2 linked regions of the Notamacropus eugenii genome follow. The protein of the gene in region 2 interacts with the protein of the main gene of each other region in a biochemical or structural test. Links are inferred from orthologs where the notes say so. Each region holds a gene or a part of one and is shown on either strand. Other genes may lie near its edges. The genes, in order: UPF3A and UPF2.

Region 1 (7,370 bases), on a different chromosome or scaffold from region 2:
GAACACATATGAAAGGGGTTATAGGAAGGGGGAGAAATTTTTGTTTTCTATGTAACTGTTCATTACTGGACAATATACTTCTTGGCTTCTTTGTGTTGAAAAATAGGTCCTTCTCACCTGGGATCAGCCGTACAAAATTCAAAGTAATCATGAGCAGGAAGTGGATGTAACTGTTCCTCCAGTTGCTCCTTGGTAAGACTGGGAGGAAGTCGACGAATAACTACCTGAAAAATACAAGAAAAAAAGTTATTAAACTTACTACTTTTCTTAAGTACCAATTACATTCTAATTCCCGTATAAAATAGACTCAGCTCCTGTCCAGATTATGAGTTAATCAAAAACAACAAATTTTAGGAAAGGATGAAGACTGTATTAGGAGATGAGAGGCAGAGAGGCTGTTAGTCTCCAAATCTGTTGATGATGTTGCTTAAACAAACACTTCACTGCTGTTCAGTGAGGTTCAGACGTCTCCTTAAGTAATGAATTCTATCTATAACCTTTTCATTACTACAGAAGAGATAGACTGTTAAAGAAGGCTCTGTGCCAGGACAGAGTACATAAATACCTGAAGGATCTGTGCCTAAGACTATGAAATAGAAGAGTTTAAAAGACTTGCCCAAGGGCACCTAACCCCCAGGTACCAGAGGTAGGATTTGAAATACAATCTTTCAGACTTCAGGCTCAGGGCCCTATCCGACATTCCACACTGCCTCTGTAATAGACACAGGTATCTTTTTTATGCATAATAGCTACAGACTGGACATAACTACCAACATTTACACAAAAATCACTGAATCAAAAAATATGAAGTACTGAATTCTCAACAGTCCTCTTAGTCATTTAGGTTTTCCATTTGTTTGGAAAGAAGATATAAAATGTTATCCACTTTCCATTCAACCCAACAAGACCTTTACAGGATCACAGTACCATAGACTTAGAATTATATGTGACCTCTAAGGTCATCTAATTTTACTTTAATGACAAAGAAACTTTGGCCCAGAGAGTTAGGTAACCTGCCCAAGCTCCTTTGATGCTTCTAATCTTTGAATCAATTCAGGATTATTTTGCAAGGTGTTTCTTTCCCCAAAATACTTTTTGTTTCTTATTTCAACAAAAAATTGTCATTCTCTGCACTCTACATGCATTTATTTGTATTACATTATGAAATTGGAAAATACTAGGTGATCAGAGTAAGAGAAGATAGTCTAATTAAAAGTGTATTTGTTGGTAACTAGATTTAGGCACATACAGCCTTGGAATAAGATGAACATACACAGACTAGTCAGTGTGATTCTGGGCTGCATGAAGACAAAAAGAGATCAAACAGGAAGCAGGCCATTCCGCTGTAGCCTGCCCTGGTTAAGAGTAAATATGGAACACAGTGGTCAGCGTGGTGATCAAGATGGAGAAGAGATGAGAAAGAATGAGATAGGAGGTTCAGTGGAAGGAAGCAGAGCCACCTGGCCTGGAGAAGAGGTTACTTAGGAGATGTATGAGACCTGGTGTTCAAGTGTTTGAAGGGTCACTCTGTGGAAGAGGGATTAGACTTGTTCCGTTTGAGCCCAGAGGGCAGAACTAGAAACAACCCAAGACGGAGAGAAACAGATGCTTCCTAACCATTCAAAACCAGGATGGACTGCCTAGGGAGGCAGTGGAGATCTTCAGGCTCCTCCTGGCGAAGGACTTCTACGGGAGGTCGGGGAAGAGGCTCCTGTTTCGGTACAGGCTGGACTGGACTGCCGCCTCCCCGTAACCCTTTCCAGCCTGGGTCCTCGGAACTCTGAAATACTGGGCTTCTTTTTTTTAACTAGCCAGCCTGCATTGTAAGTAACTATTCTGGTTCTCTGTAGCACATTCATCTCTTAAAAATATCCTCAGGTGCATGAGTGGACCATTCTTCGGGGACGGTTTTCTTCTCCACGGTCACTTTAAAGCCGCATTCTCAGGTCATGCCGCCATTCGCAGCTCTTCTTGGGTCGATCAGAACTTACCGCTTTGCGGAGCACGAACTCTCCGCCAGCCTTCTCCGAGTCCGACCCTGCCCCCGGGCTGCCCCCAGGCAGCCTCCACTCTCCCGCAGGAGGCGTGGGGAGGGTGACGTCAGGCGGACCGGGCCAGCCCGCCCCCTAGGGGCCGGCGGAGCGTCTCTCCCCTTTGTCTGTCGGTCCCCGGAGCCCCGCGCATTCGTGAAGCTGCGGGCTGGGCGCGGGTGGGGAGGAGCGGCCACGCCGCCCACTGATATCCACCGTGCGGGGCGCCGGGGAACGACGTTCGACTTTCATTTTAAACACAATTACAAGTCCAAATGTCTGAGGTGACTTCCACCTCGCCCTAAGGGAGGGAACAAAGTCACGCTCGGGAGGAGACGAGGAAAGGACCGCCCGGGGCTCCGGTGGTCGGCCCCCCGCGCGGCCGCCTCCCACGGCGGCCCCGCCGGGCTGCGCCTCCGCCCCTCCTCCACGGCCGCCGGCGCCCCGGGCTCGGGGCGCTCTCCCCGGTCCTGAAAGCTCGTCCGCTGTCCCTCCTTCCCTCCTCCTTCCTCCCGGGGCGGCCGCCTCCGCGCAGTCCCTTCCTCCCGCCGCGAGACCCTCCCCCGCCGACCCCGGGCCGCGAGCCCCGGCCGCCCCTCCCCCCCAGGCGCCCCCCCACCTTGCTCAGGACCGTTTTCTTCTCCTCCCGCGGCTTGCTGCCGCCTCCTCCGCCACCGCCGCCTCCGCCGCTGCTTCCGCCACCCCCGCAGCCCGAGGCCGACACGGCGGTCGGAGGCGTCTCCGCTTCGCGCCGAGGCGACTCGCGGCGGAACTGGATCTCCATCGCTGTCCCTCCGCGGGAAGATGCCGGGGGCGGTGGCAGGGGTGGCGGTGGCGGCGGCGGCGGCGGCGGCAATGGCGGCTTCTCCTTGCCGCCCGATCCCCGCCCGGCGCCGCCGACGCCAGAGCCCCCGGCCCCGCTGGCTGCCTCCTTCTCGGACCGCATCACGCACCCGCCGCAGCCTCAGGCTCTTTCTCCCGCCCGTTCGGGGAGTGTCAGGAAGACTCGCGAGATCTCCGCCTACGCTCGCGCGCTACCCCCCCCCCCCCCCTCCGGCCCCGCCCGCCAGCCGTGCTTCTTGGTGACCGTCCACCCCTTCCTTGTAATGGAGGGAAGGAGCGGACACGGACGAGTCAGGGCAGTTGGGGGAAGGAGGAGCGCGTCGGAAAAGAGAGGCCTGGGGTCAGACGGTTTCAGGGGATGCGGACCGCGAGACCACGGAGGTGCCGCTGTCCATGGAGATGAAAAGGGCTGGGGTGCGGCCGGGCGGGGCGGGGCCGGGCGGGCTGGTGCGCCTGCGCGCAGGACCCGGAGGCACGTTCCCGCTCTATCCGCATTGCTGTCTCCCGAGCCGTGGGCGGCCGGCCAGGCGACCCCCGCAGAGCTCGGGCTGCGCCCGCACCGAGTGCGGGGTCCTTGGGCTTGGCTCGGGGCTGTAGGGGAGGGAATGGCAAGGCCCCCGGGAGAGCGGGGCTAAAGATCAAAATGCAGAGAAGCCTCGGGCTTGTCAGAATGGGAACCTCGGTGTGTGCGATCCGGGTATTAAGAACGAGCCCATGTTCTCCCTGGAAGGTCCTCAGGCCTGCATCCCGCCCCCCCCTCCCGAGCCCCCCCATCTGACCGGAAAGCCACGGCCATGGCCATCAGCAGCCCCCCAGGGGGCGCTCAGGCGCTGCCCACCATGGGGGCGCCGTCCAGAAACATCAAGGCCACCGGTTTATTTTTCCTGTACACAGGCGGCTGCTAATAAATGCTTTGGTCATCTTTACAAGTACGCTTTCCAGCGTCTGCGGCAGTGATATCTCTGCACTGCCAGCACCTCCCTCCGGACAAGAGGCGCGCGGACGAAGGAGGGTCCGGGGCCGCGGAAGCGCTCCGAGCCTTCTTGCAGAACAGAATCGGAACCGCCCCGCCGAGTCTCACGGCACCTGGGTTCGCCTGGCCCCAAATTAAAGAGGAGGGCTTCTCCAAACGTGCGGCCGCTGGAGTGGTCCCCACTCGGCTCCGGGCTTGGGGTGGGTCGTTTGGAGGCGACCGTCCCCCGCGGGGCGCTAAGCGATGCCGGACCTTGGCTCTCGTGTCCGAGGTGGGAAGTAACGAGGGACTCCCGGGGAGCAGCACACGCTGGCCGTCCCCACGACGGCAAGTTCACGTTCTCTCAGCTCCACCATCTTGTCAGCGAAAGAACCCTATAAAAACGTCCCTTTTCTGTCCCACGCGGGGTTACGAAGGTTTGCGTGGCCGCGTCCGTGTACAGAGCGGCTACCGGGGGAGCCCCAGGTGAAAGCGGAGCGCCTGCACCGCGGACGGGACAGACAAGGGCCGCCTGCGAGCACAGCCTCGGGTTAGGGAGCTCACAGCAGCCCTCGGTAGCAGCCTTCCTTCAGCTTTACGGGAGGAGCCGAGGCTCGGAGGGGCGAATCTGCCCAGCGCCCTCTCCCCGCACCGTCTGGCGTGTGTGCACGCGGATGTTCCACCGTGCCACGGACACAGGCACGTAGCTCCCCGACCCAGAAGCAGAGGGTCAGGGTACAGACACAAACATGGTCCAGACAAAGGACCGCAGGAAATCTGAAGTGCGGAACGCCACGACCGTCTGGGAAGGACCACGGGAGGACTTCTGGGGGAGCTGTCCTTTGAATTAGCTATTAAAGCGTGCACAGGACTAAGAGGCCAGAGAAGGAGCGGCGCACTCTGGTGTGGACCAGGCGCTCCTGTGCAGTCACGACTTTTATTGTTGTGTTTTGTTTCCTCAGCTAGACTGTATACTCTGGGAAGGTAGACATTTGTCTTATACCTCTGTGTTCCTTAATAGAACCCAGCACTATCTGGTGAAACTAAATAAATATTTGTGGGTGACTTTAAATACTGATATAAACGAACCTGAAAAGAGAAAGCTCATCTCCGATCACTGAATACTGATAAAAATGAAATCGCCAAGCCACAACGCAGACTTGTTTAAGGCTTTCTGCCTACCAAACACAACCTTCATAACCTGATGGACGAGTGATTTGAGAGTTCAAAAAGAAATGTCTTCAAGTGCTCTGAACGGTCAAGTGTCTGATATGCTCACTTCATGGAAAAGAATCACGTTGTATCTAAAGAGAAGTGAGCAGTGAAAGCATTTTCTTCTTTACTGCTGGTCTTATGGCAAAAAGCTTAAAAGAATAGATGGATCAGACTACCCTTTCAAAAAAGCTAACACTTCAAGTATCCTGCAGTGCCTGTAGAGGAGAGACCAAGGAACAAGTCTTGCTTGTGCCCTTGACCAGTCACTACTCCTCTGGCTGCTTACGTTTCATTATCTGTAATATGAGAGGATTGAAATAAATGATCTCTAGAGTCCCTTCCAGGTCTATGCTAGGGGTAAATATTTTTAGTGTGAATATTCTGTATTTAATTTAACTGCCTCATTATTATGAGAAGCTAAATTCTCAAGTTCTTGATGAGAATCACAGAACTAGAACTAGAAGGGTCTTTGGGTCCAATTCCCTCATTTCTGCCAGTGAGTAAACTGAAACCCAGGGAGGTTAAGTCAAGTAACTTGCTCCAGGTCATACAAGTAGCAGAGACAGGATTTGAACCCAGGTCCTCTTAAATGACAGGTGCGGAAGTATTCTGAAAAGTCACCGTTGTGAGGACAGAATTCATGCTGCTACTTATCAAATGCTTTGGAAACAAGCATGTTTTAAATAACGAGGGGAAAGGGTTCAGAGTGGGGGGCACCATGCCCATGTAAACCAAGGTCACTGAACCTCTAGCTGGGGGTCAGGCTTATTCTGGGTTTCTAAGAAAGCCAGGGTGCAAAGATGGCACAGTGGATAAATTGCTAGACTCAGTGCTACTCTTCTCCACCCCTGCCTCCCACATGTAATAACCATGTGATTCTGGGAGTCATTTAAAACCTCTCTATGCCTCAGTTTCTTTACCAGTCAAATCAAGGGACTGAATTTGATGGCTTCTAAGGTCTCTTCCAGATCTAAATCTATGACCCTATGACTTAATATATTTACTATATTTACTTTGCACATGCTTCTCTATATATACAGGTTTCCTCTAATGTAATTTAAGCTCCTTGAGGTCAGGTAATGTTTTTGTCTGTATTTCTGGAAACCAGGTACAATGCTTAGCATATATTAGGTGCTTATTGATGTTGTCATGCCAGCTGTTCTTAAGCCAGTTTATGCTTTACTTTCTCCTAAGTTATCTTATCAGTTTTCATACAAATCCACTAAATGAATGAGACAATTCTGCTTCTGCTTCTTGACAAGGAACTTTTTGCAAGTCCTGTCGGACAATGTGGTGGAGAAATCACAATGGCTGGGAAAGCAAAAGAGTTTATTTTGTCTTCATAATCTCAATTCCCAAAAAACATATGGCAACTCATGTTTGTGTTGTGATTCCTGGCTTATATAATGCTTTCATCCATCCCTATTTTACAGTGGGGAAATGGAGACTCAAGGAAGAAGTGATTTGTATAGGGACACCCTTTGAATGTCATAACAGAGGTTTGAACTCAGGCCTTTAAACTAAGTCCTGCGTCCTTTCCTCTCCATTTATCACATTGCCTTTTTAACTGCCTTTTTTTTTTTTTGCTATTAATAATGTTAATAATTATGAAACAATTTACTCTTTTTAGACCTCACAGACCAAACTCTTCTTCCCCAATCTTAAAATATGATTTGAATATGCCTGTGATATCATAGTTTCTTTCCATTTAAAATACATTTTAATGAATTATTTTTAAAAGAAGCAATTAAAAGAGGAGCACCAGCGGAATCTTCCTCCTTCAGGGAAAAGAGCTTAAAGGATGGTGATGTTTTCTGGAAACTAAATTGGTTTTGTCAATGTTTCTTGATATTGGTATCTTAAATTTCCACGACCAAAACAAAGTTATATTAACTCCTGACCAAGTGTCAACTGTAGATGTGAATGACTTCATCTTGGGATGCATTATACCCCAGTCTTTTATTTCTGTCCAAAAAAGTACCCAAGAAAGAAATGCTTATCCAAAGAAAAGCTTGTGGTTTCTACCAGACATATAACTGGCATATGTTATCACCATTTCAACAGCAACAGCTTCTGTGACCATAAAAATTTCCATTTTTTTCCTTAAGAAAACTAAGCAGTTGCTCTAACATTCTTTTAAAGGTAAATTTCTGGCAAAAATATGCATCTGTCTAAAATAAGCAACTATGGAAATAAAAATTAATGAATTTAGAAATTATCCTATTTGCTTTTCTTAATTATTCATTTACTATCTGAAATTATAAGCATCGACATTAACTGTCCATTGATGAGAAATATAACAAGCTTGAACTGACTTCTGGAAACTTTTG
Region 2 (7,902 bases):
TTTAATAATATTTAGTAAACATTTTTTCACTTACTTGTCCTAGTACTAAAAGTTAATATTTAAAATGAGTCATTAGCAAATTTACCTACTACAAAAAGTTCAGATAAAAGCTCAATTATCTATATAAACGAGATGGTGGACAGAAATTTTTAAGCACAATAAAAGTTTAATCAAACTTTTATTTTAACTGGAAGGGATCTTGGAAATCAACTTGTCAAACTCCTTCAATTTTAGCCCAGGAGATAAGAGACCCAGGGAAGTTAAAAGATGACTAAAGCCAGTTAAAGGTGCAGTACCAGAACTAAAACCTAAGTCGCCTGACTTCCCATCCAATGCTCTTCCCACTATACTAATTTATCTCCCATATTTAGAAAGTCAAGTGAAAAAAAACCCACTTGATCCAAACCAAGTGTTGCTTTAACATTTTAGCTTAAAAAAAAAATTCACCCATATACTACATTACTTTCCATATATTGCTGAAATTATTCTAAGATTCTGTAATTCACTACTTAGATCAGGTAAAAATGCTAGAAAAGTTTACAATAAGTATTAAAAATAACTGAAGAAAAATGTTAAATCCTTTTACTGAAGCAGCAGAATGATCATGAAAATAGAACTGCATTGTCTGAGAGCTCTCCATTCACAAAGGCAGTTCAGAACAGTGGAAAGAAATTTGGAGTTGGGACCTGGGTTCAATTTCTGCCTCTGCTTCTAGTACTTGTGAGAATTCATATAGCTCTTGGGGACCCAGTTTCCTTAAAAAGGGTTGAATTAAATGACTGTTCTATCTCTAAATCTATGATACAGGTACCAGTATTATTCAGGTACCACTACTATTATCCATGTCACCCAAAAATGTCTTTGGTACCTGGTTTCTAATAAAGTATTTGAAAAGGCAGGTTTTCCACTTGTGAGAAGACAGCCTAAAGTAATGGAAAAAGCATTGGTCTGAAAAATCAGAGGACCTGGTTCAACTCCCAGCTCAGAGATACTTACTAGCTAGTTATGTGACCCTGGGCAATGTCTTTAACCTTTCTGTGCCTGGGTTTCCTCATCTGTAAAATGGAGATAATAATTCTTACATGAGGAAAGTACTTCAAAACCTTCAAGTGCAGGATCAAAGTGAGCTATTACCAACTGTGGACAGGGAAGTCTTGAAACATACGTATTAATTAACATTTGGAAGTTATTACTTTGCTAGCATTCACTCAATAGCACAAAGCACCTCACTACCTACTTCCCTAGAAGGAACAAAGAAAATATGATAGATATCATTTTCCTTTTGAGAACTGGATTACAGGTTAAAATATAAAATTAGTGCTCTAAGAATACTCTTTAGAAGTCACTGAGAGAATATTGGTTTACCTTTGTTCCCAAGTTTTCACCTTCTTCTAGTCTAAGGGTAGTATTTGTACACAAGCCCAACAAATCTGCTTCCTGCCAATAATTTCTATACGTTAAAGAATAACAGCAGTCACAAGAGTTTATTTAAAAGGGGTTGATTGTGTGTGTGTGTGCGCGTGCAAGTGTCACCCATGCTAGTGCAATGTAAAGGTCTTTAAGTTCCCCCCAAACTTCGACACTTAACAAGACTAGAACAAAGTCCCAGCCGATAAAAAGAAGGGGGAGTCTCTCAGACTCGCTTTCGATTCTCGAGTTATTCCGCAGAGCCCACTTTTCCCTCGTAGGCCAAGGAGGGCGAAGACGCTCCAAGATAAAGGCGGTCCATGGGGAGTCCTGCAGTGACAGACCTTCCTAAGAGCACACGTCTCGCGGAGGCCCTCGGGAGGGCAGGGGGTCTCCCCAGGTCAGCCCAAATGGCACCTGCACGGGCCCCCGCACGCCCCGACGCGGCTGTCCCCCAGCCCGCTCCCGGCTCCCGCGCCTTCTCCCTCGTCCTTGGGCCAGGCTTAGCCCCGGCAAACTTTGTTCTCTTTTCCCACTCTCCTCCAACACCTCGCTTCACTCGTGGCCCAGGACACGGGCACCTCCACCTGCTCACACACCCGCCGCACACCTCATGCCCACCCCGGCACCGAGACGGCTCGAAGCACTCCCGTCCCCCAACAACCCCCCCCAAAGAAAACCGAAAATCGCCCCTCCGCTCTGCCCCTTCCACGCCCCCCAACTCCCTCGGACCTCTCCACCTCCAGCCCTCGGCCCGGCCCAGGCTCCGAGGGGCGCGCACCCCCTCCTTCCCCTCCTCCGGTGGGCGGGGGCCGGCGGAGGGCGAGCCCGTCGCCTCCGTCCCTTCCGCGGTCCCCACAGAGAGCTAAGGTATGGGGGGTGGGGGGAGGCGCCTTCTTCGTGTCCCTCCCCCCCCCCCCCCCCGCCTGCCCGCCCCAGGGAGCTGGGAGGGCAGGTTTCCCTCCCTCTAGCCCCCGCCTCCTGCCTCCAGGGCTGAGGGCGAATGTAGAGAGGGAAAAGGTTCCGTCCCCAGTACTCACCTCTCGCCTGTTGTCAACATCAGCCCCGCGTTTCCCAGCACCAACTCTACCGCTCCGGCTCTCCTCTCTCCCCTCCCCCCCTCACCTATCTCCCCGACGAGGACCCGCCTTCCCCTCGGCTCCCCCTCCCTCCCCCCGCCCGCTGGCCCTCCCGCCCGCCACTCACCAACGCGGACCCGAACTGCGGGTGGGGGCGGGGCGGAGGGAGGTGGCAGGAAGAAGCTGTCCTCGCGATTGCCTGAACGAAAGTCTCCCGGCCCTCCAGCTTGCGGGTGGTTACCCACCACCCGCTCCTTGGTTCCTAGATGGCGACCTTCAGGTTCTCTACGGAAATCCGAACCACCCCATCCTGACAAGTTCAGGTTGCTGCCTGGGAAGGGTCGAGAGAGAGACAAGTGGGATTTTCAGACAGGCGATGTCCAGGACAACCTCCTCCACCTCTCTCCACCCACTACCACCTCCTCAACCCGGGGCCCCAGCAAAGGAAAGGAGGAGCGTTCTGACGGCTGAGAGACAGGAAGTGGGTTGGTCACCAGGAAAGGGAGAGCAGGAAAGACAAGTACGCAGGCGCAGCCTCACCTAAGGAGGGGGTGAGAACTGGGACATGAGGCCCTGGGTGGGAGGAGTCAAAAGCAACTACGGGACAACGTTGGGGACAAAGTTGAAGATAGTTTGATAGGAACTTAAGGGTTAAGGTTTGAAAAGAAAAAAGTTTAGTGACGGTAGGAGGAGAAGAAAGATCTGGGCTTTGGGAAGGGAGTTACTCATTGGAACATAGGAGATATTGTAACAGATTTAGCTCCCTAAGGATTCGAAGGGAAAGGGGCGGCGAAAATAAACAAAGGAATTTTTAAATCTTCGCCCAAAAATCCTCCACTCTCCCAAATAGGAGGAGTGTCAGTACCCACGCCATTCTTGGAAAGAACCAGGTTAAATAGGTTTGTTTCTGAAAAATTCCCATGAGACCTCCCTGGCCTATCGAGCATGCTCACGTCACCCCTTAACTTTTGAAAAGCTTTACGTCACCTGACCAATGTCCTGGTTTCAGGGAGACTTGAGGAAGCGAAACGTCTGTTATGAGTGTTGGAGTGCCTTATGAAGGCACCTTTCTGCGCTTTCAGTTCTTAACTTAATGGTGGGATTTCCAGCCTTTGGCTGTTTGCAGTGTCATATTTAATTTCCCAACAAACCTTCCCTATTGTATTAAAAGTGGTGTGTACATAAAATGACCGGGTTCTGCAGTCAAAAATGGGAACACGATCTATGAGGACAATGTCCGATCAGCTATGCTGCTTTTGGACTTCTTTGGGTCTTTCCACCATGCTTCAAGAAACTCATCTGTTCCCCAACTGATAAATGGTCAAAGGATATAAACAGGCAGTTTTCCAATGAAGAGATTAAAACTATCTGTAGTTATGTGAAAAAATGTGGTAAATCACTATTGATTAGAGAAATGCAAATTAAAACAACTCTGTGGTACCACAGCACACCTATCAGATTGGCTAATAGGACAAAACAAAAATAAATGTTGGAGATGTGAGAAAACTGGAACGTTCAGGCGTTGTTAGTGGAGTTGTGAATTGATCTAACCATTCTGGAGAGCAATTTTCAGCTTCCTTTTGTGCTTCTTGCCCCATTCGATTGTATACTCCTTGAGGTCAGGGTCTATCTCTGCAGATATTTGTGTGCCCATCACTTAGTTCAGTGCCTGGAACATAGTAAGCACTTAATTTATTGACTAGCAATGATGGGGCACTAATGATTTTTCCCTCTCTCTCCTCTTCCTCCCCCCAAGATGGCATGCAATCTGATATAGGCTATATAGACTTGCACAGTCGTATTAAATTTATTTAGACGTTAGTCATGTTGGGAAAGAAAAATCTAAACAAAAGGGGAAAACCACGAGAAAGGAAAAAGAGAGAGAGAATAGTATACTTCAATCTGCATTCAGATTCTGTAGTTTTTTCTTTGGATGTCAATCATATTTTCCAACATGAGTCTTTTGCAGTAGTCTTAGATCATTGCATTGCTGAGGAGAGCCAAGACCATCAAAGTTGGTCATCGCACAATGTTGCTGTTACTGTGTACAATATTCTGGTTCTGCTCATCTCACTCCACATCGGTTCCCGCCTTTCCAGCTTTTTCTGAAATCTGCCTGCTCATTATTTTATGTTTTTTATGTATACAATTGCATTTGTATACCACAACTTGTTCAGTCATTTCCCAAATGATGGGTATACCCTCAATTTCCAGTTCTTTGCCACCACAGAAACAGCTCCTATAAATATTTTTGTATATATGGTTCTTTTTCCCTTTTTATGATCTCTTTAGGATACAGACCTAGCAGTGGTATTGCTGCATCAAAGGATATGCAGTTTTATAATCACAATATTCTTTTTGCTCATTTTCACCTTCCTAATGGAACCAACCCTTGAAACAAAGATTTAAAAAGAAACAAACAATAAAAAAGACTGTCAAAACTAACACACTTACTCTTTTTTGGACAATATATGCAATATTCGTGCCACTTACTTCCTACAAGTTACTACTCCTCTATCCCACTTCAGCCGCACACTAATATGGGTACTATTACCCACAAAAGTACTACATCTTTGTTCCAGAACTCTGAAATCTCCATATACAACTATAAGCCATTGGCTTTTCACCTTTTCCTCTGCCTTTCCTTACAAAATATTACTCTTTGTCCACAGAGTAGCCTCCAATCCCTCAGCCCCTCAATTTTTTCTCAGGCTATCTTCTCTGCATTCACCATTCTTTCTTCTTTTCCCCATCTTTTCCCCTTGGTGAAGCAATTCAACTCTACTCCGTCTTCCTCTCTTGAATTTTTAATCCCCTTATTATATTACTGATCACTCCCACCATTGCTGAGTGAAGGTGGAGAAAATCTCACACTGATTCTGACTGGATCCACTACAAATTTATGTTATGTTTATCTTATTCGGGTTTTTACTGCTATTGAGCCATCCTATTATACTTCCCTTATCAACCCTCTATCCCACTCTCCAGAGAAGTTCTTCCCAACACTTATCCCTTCTTAAACTTCCCATGGCCTCCATTCCCCCCCACTTTCAGCTGAGAACCGTGCCATATATTTTATAGAAAAACATCGAGGCCATTTACTATGAACTCCTTCTTGCTTCTTCCTCATCCCCCATCATTGAGGTGCTTTTTGCCACTCAAAATCTTATACAATTGAATATTGACAACTATCTTTACAAGTAATTAGAAAAAATGTACTATTAAGTGGGGAAAAAGGAAATGCCACAAAAAATATAATTTTCATAGCCAGTGAAAACGCTTGATATCTAAAGATTAAGTGTCTTGAGCTAGGAACAGTGAAGAAGACAGTATATTCAATCACAGAGTACGTTGGTGGGATGGGGCAGCTAAGTGGTGCAGTGGATAGAGCACCAGTGCAGGAGTCAGGAGGATCTGAGTTCAAATCTCACCTCAGACACTTGACACTCACTAGCTGTGTGACCTTAGGCAAGTCACTTAACCTGAATTGCCTCATTCTAGGTCATCTCCAGTCATCCTAAATATCTGGTTGAATATCTGGTCACTGGATTCAGATGGCTCTGGAGGAGAAGTGGGACTGGTGACCTGCACAGCCCTCCCTCACTCAAAACAAAGTCAAGTGCAAGTCATGTCATTATTTCTCTGATGGCATGGTCTTCTTCGGCAATGAAGGATGAACATACACACACACACACACACACACACACACACACACACACGCATATATACACATAGCCACTCACACATATATATATATGAAGACCGTACTAGGCATATTACTACTTACCATCTATTTCTCTGAAGGTGTATAGGATCTTCATAAGTCCAAGTCTTTCCATGTTTTTCTAAATTAACCAGCTCATGATTTCCTACACCACAACAATATTCCACCCAACCACATACTATCTGAAAGATTGTCTGTGAAAGTTTTTCCCTCCTTTTCTATTCTTGGCTGCATAGATTTTATTTATACAAGAAAATTTTAACTTAGAATAATAAAAATTATTTATTTTACACTTCAACAATGCTCTCACCTTATAATATAGTTTAAGGTCTGACGCTGCTGAATCAGCATCCTTTACATCTAAAAAGAGGTTCCTGACCTTTGGTTCTCTCAAATGAACTTTGTAATTCTTTTTTCTAACACTAAGATAATTTTTTAGTAATTTAATTGAAATGGCACTAAATAAATAGATTAGATAGAATTGTCGGTTTTTTTATTATATTGGCTTTACCTACCCATGAATGATAAATATTACTTCAATTTTTAGATCTGACTTTATTTGTATAAAAAAAGTTTTATGTTTATGTTCATATAGTTCTTGTGTCTGTTTTGACAGGTATACTCTCAGGTATTTCATGTTGTCTAGTTATTTTAAATGTTCTAAAACAATATTGCAGACACATAGTGTAATTTCCCTATCGTTCTCTTTTAATTAGATCTATTTTGGCTTTAAGTTTGTCTGAGATCATGATTGCTACTCCTGCTTTTTTTCATAATGCATTCTGCTCAGGCCTTTAAAAAAAAAGAATATTATATTTAAACAAAAGGAATCAGATTTTTGTGATCACTAGAGAAGGGTGGCAGGGTTAATTTATACCCAAGCTAAGCAACACTAAGTTAAAGTGGAAGCTGGAGACTGAGAGTCTAGAACAACACCCTGAAAACCCCTAGCAATCAATCAATCAATTAACATTTATGAAGTACCAGCTATGTGCCAGGCACAGTGCTTAAATAAGTGCTTTATAAATATCTCATCTTATCCTCTCAACAACTCTGGGAGGTCAGGATTATCATTATTATATTTCATGCTATTATTATTATTCCTATTTAACAGCTGAGAAAACTGAGACAGGCAGACATTAAGTGACTTGCCCAGGATCGCAAAGGTAACAAATGTTTGAAGATAGATTTGAACTCAGGGCTTCTTTACTCCGGGTCCAACACTCTATATTTTTTGTGCCACCCAGCTGTGGCTGGAGGTGATAATTGAATCCATGAGAACTGATGAGATCACCAAATAGAATAGCATAGGGGAAAAGAGGGCTCAGGATAGAAGCTTATAGGAGGACACTCATCCTTAGTGGACATGGTCTAGATAAAGAGCCAGGAATGAATGATGTCTTAACCTAGAGAAAAGAAACTATGGAGGAAAAGAGGGTGATTTACTAGTGGCAAAGCCTAAGGATAGATCAAGGATTGAAGAAAGGCCATTAGATTTGGCAGTTAAGAGAGCATTGGTAACTTTGCAAAGAGCTGTTTCAGTTAAATAATGAGGCTGAAAACCAGACTGCAGAGAATTAAGAACACAGTGAGAGGAAAGGAAGTTGAGAAGGCACTGGTTATAAATGGCTTTCTCAAGGAGTTTAGCCATGAAAGGAAAGAGAGTTTTAGAACAACTATTGGGGATGGATC

Evidence for each region.
Region 1: the proteins of UPF2 (region 2) and UPF3A form a complex in vitro, tested with the Homo sapiens proteins (2 studies listed by IntAct, with this or other methods). The link is inferred for Notamacropus eugenii from reciprocal best matches to the Homo sapiens genes UPF2 and UPF3A.

The regions. Positions count from the first base shown.
Region 1 is NC_092877.1:206,134,339-206,141,708, forward strand, and holds the start of UPF3A (regulator of nonsense transcripts 3A), read right to left. Parts: upstream 3,036-7,370; 5' UTR 2,977-3,035; coding exon 2,650-2,976; intron 225-2,649; coding exon 118-224; intron 1-117. UniProt on the Homo sapiens protein: Involved in nonsense-mediated decay (NMD) of mRNAs containing premature stop codons by associating with the nuclear exon junction complex (EJC) and serving as link between the EJC core and NMD machinery.
Region 2 is NC_092874.1:170,054,665-170,062,566, reverse strand, and holds the start of UPF2 (regulator of nonsense transcripts 2), read right to left. Parts: upstream 3,010-7,902; 5' UTR 2,614-3,009; exon of another isoform or gene 2,448-2,613; intron 2,322-2,447; exon of another isoform or gene 2,140-2,321; intron 1,056-2,139; 5' UTR 997-1,055; intron 1-996. UniProt on the Homo sapiens protein: Involved in nonsense-mediated decay (NMD) of mRNAs containing premature stop codons by associating with the nuclear exon junction complex (EJC).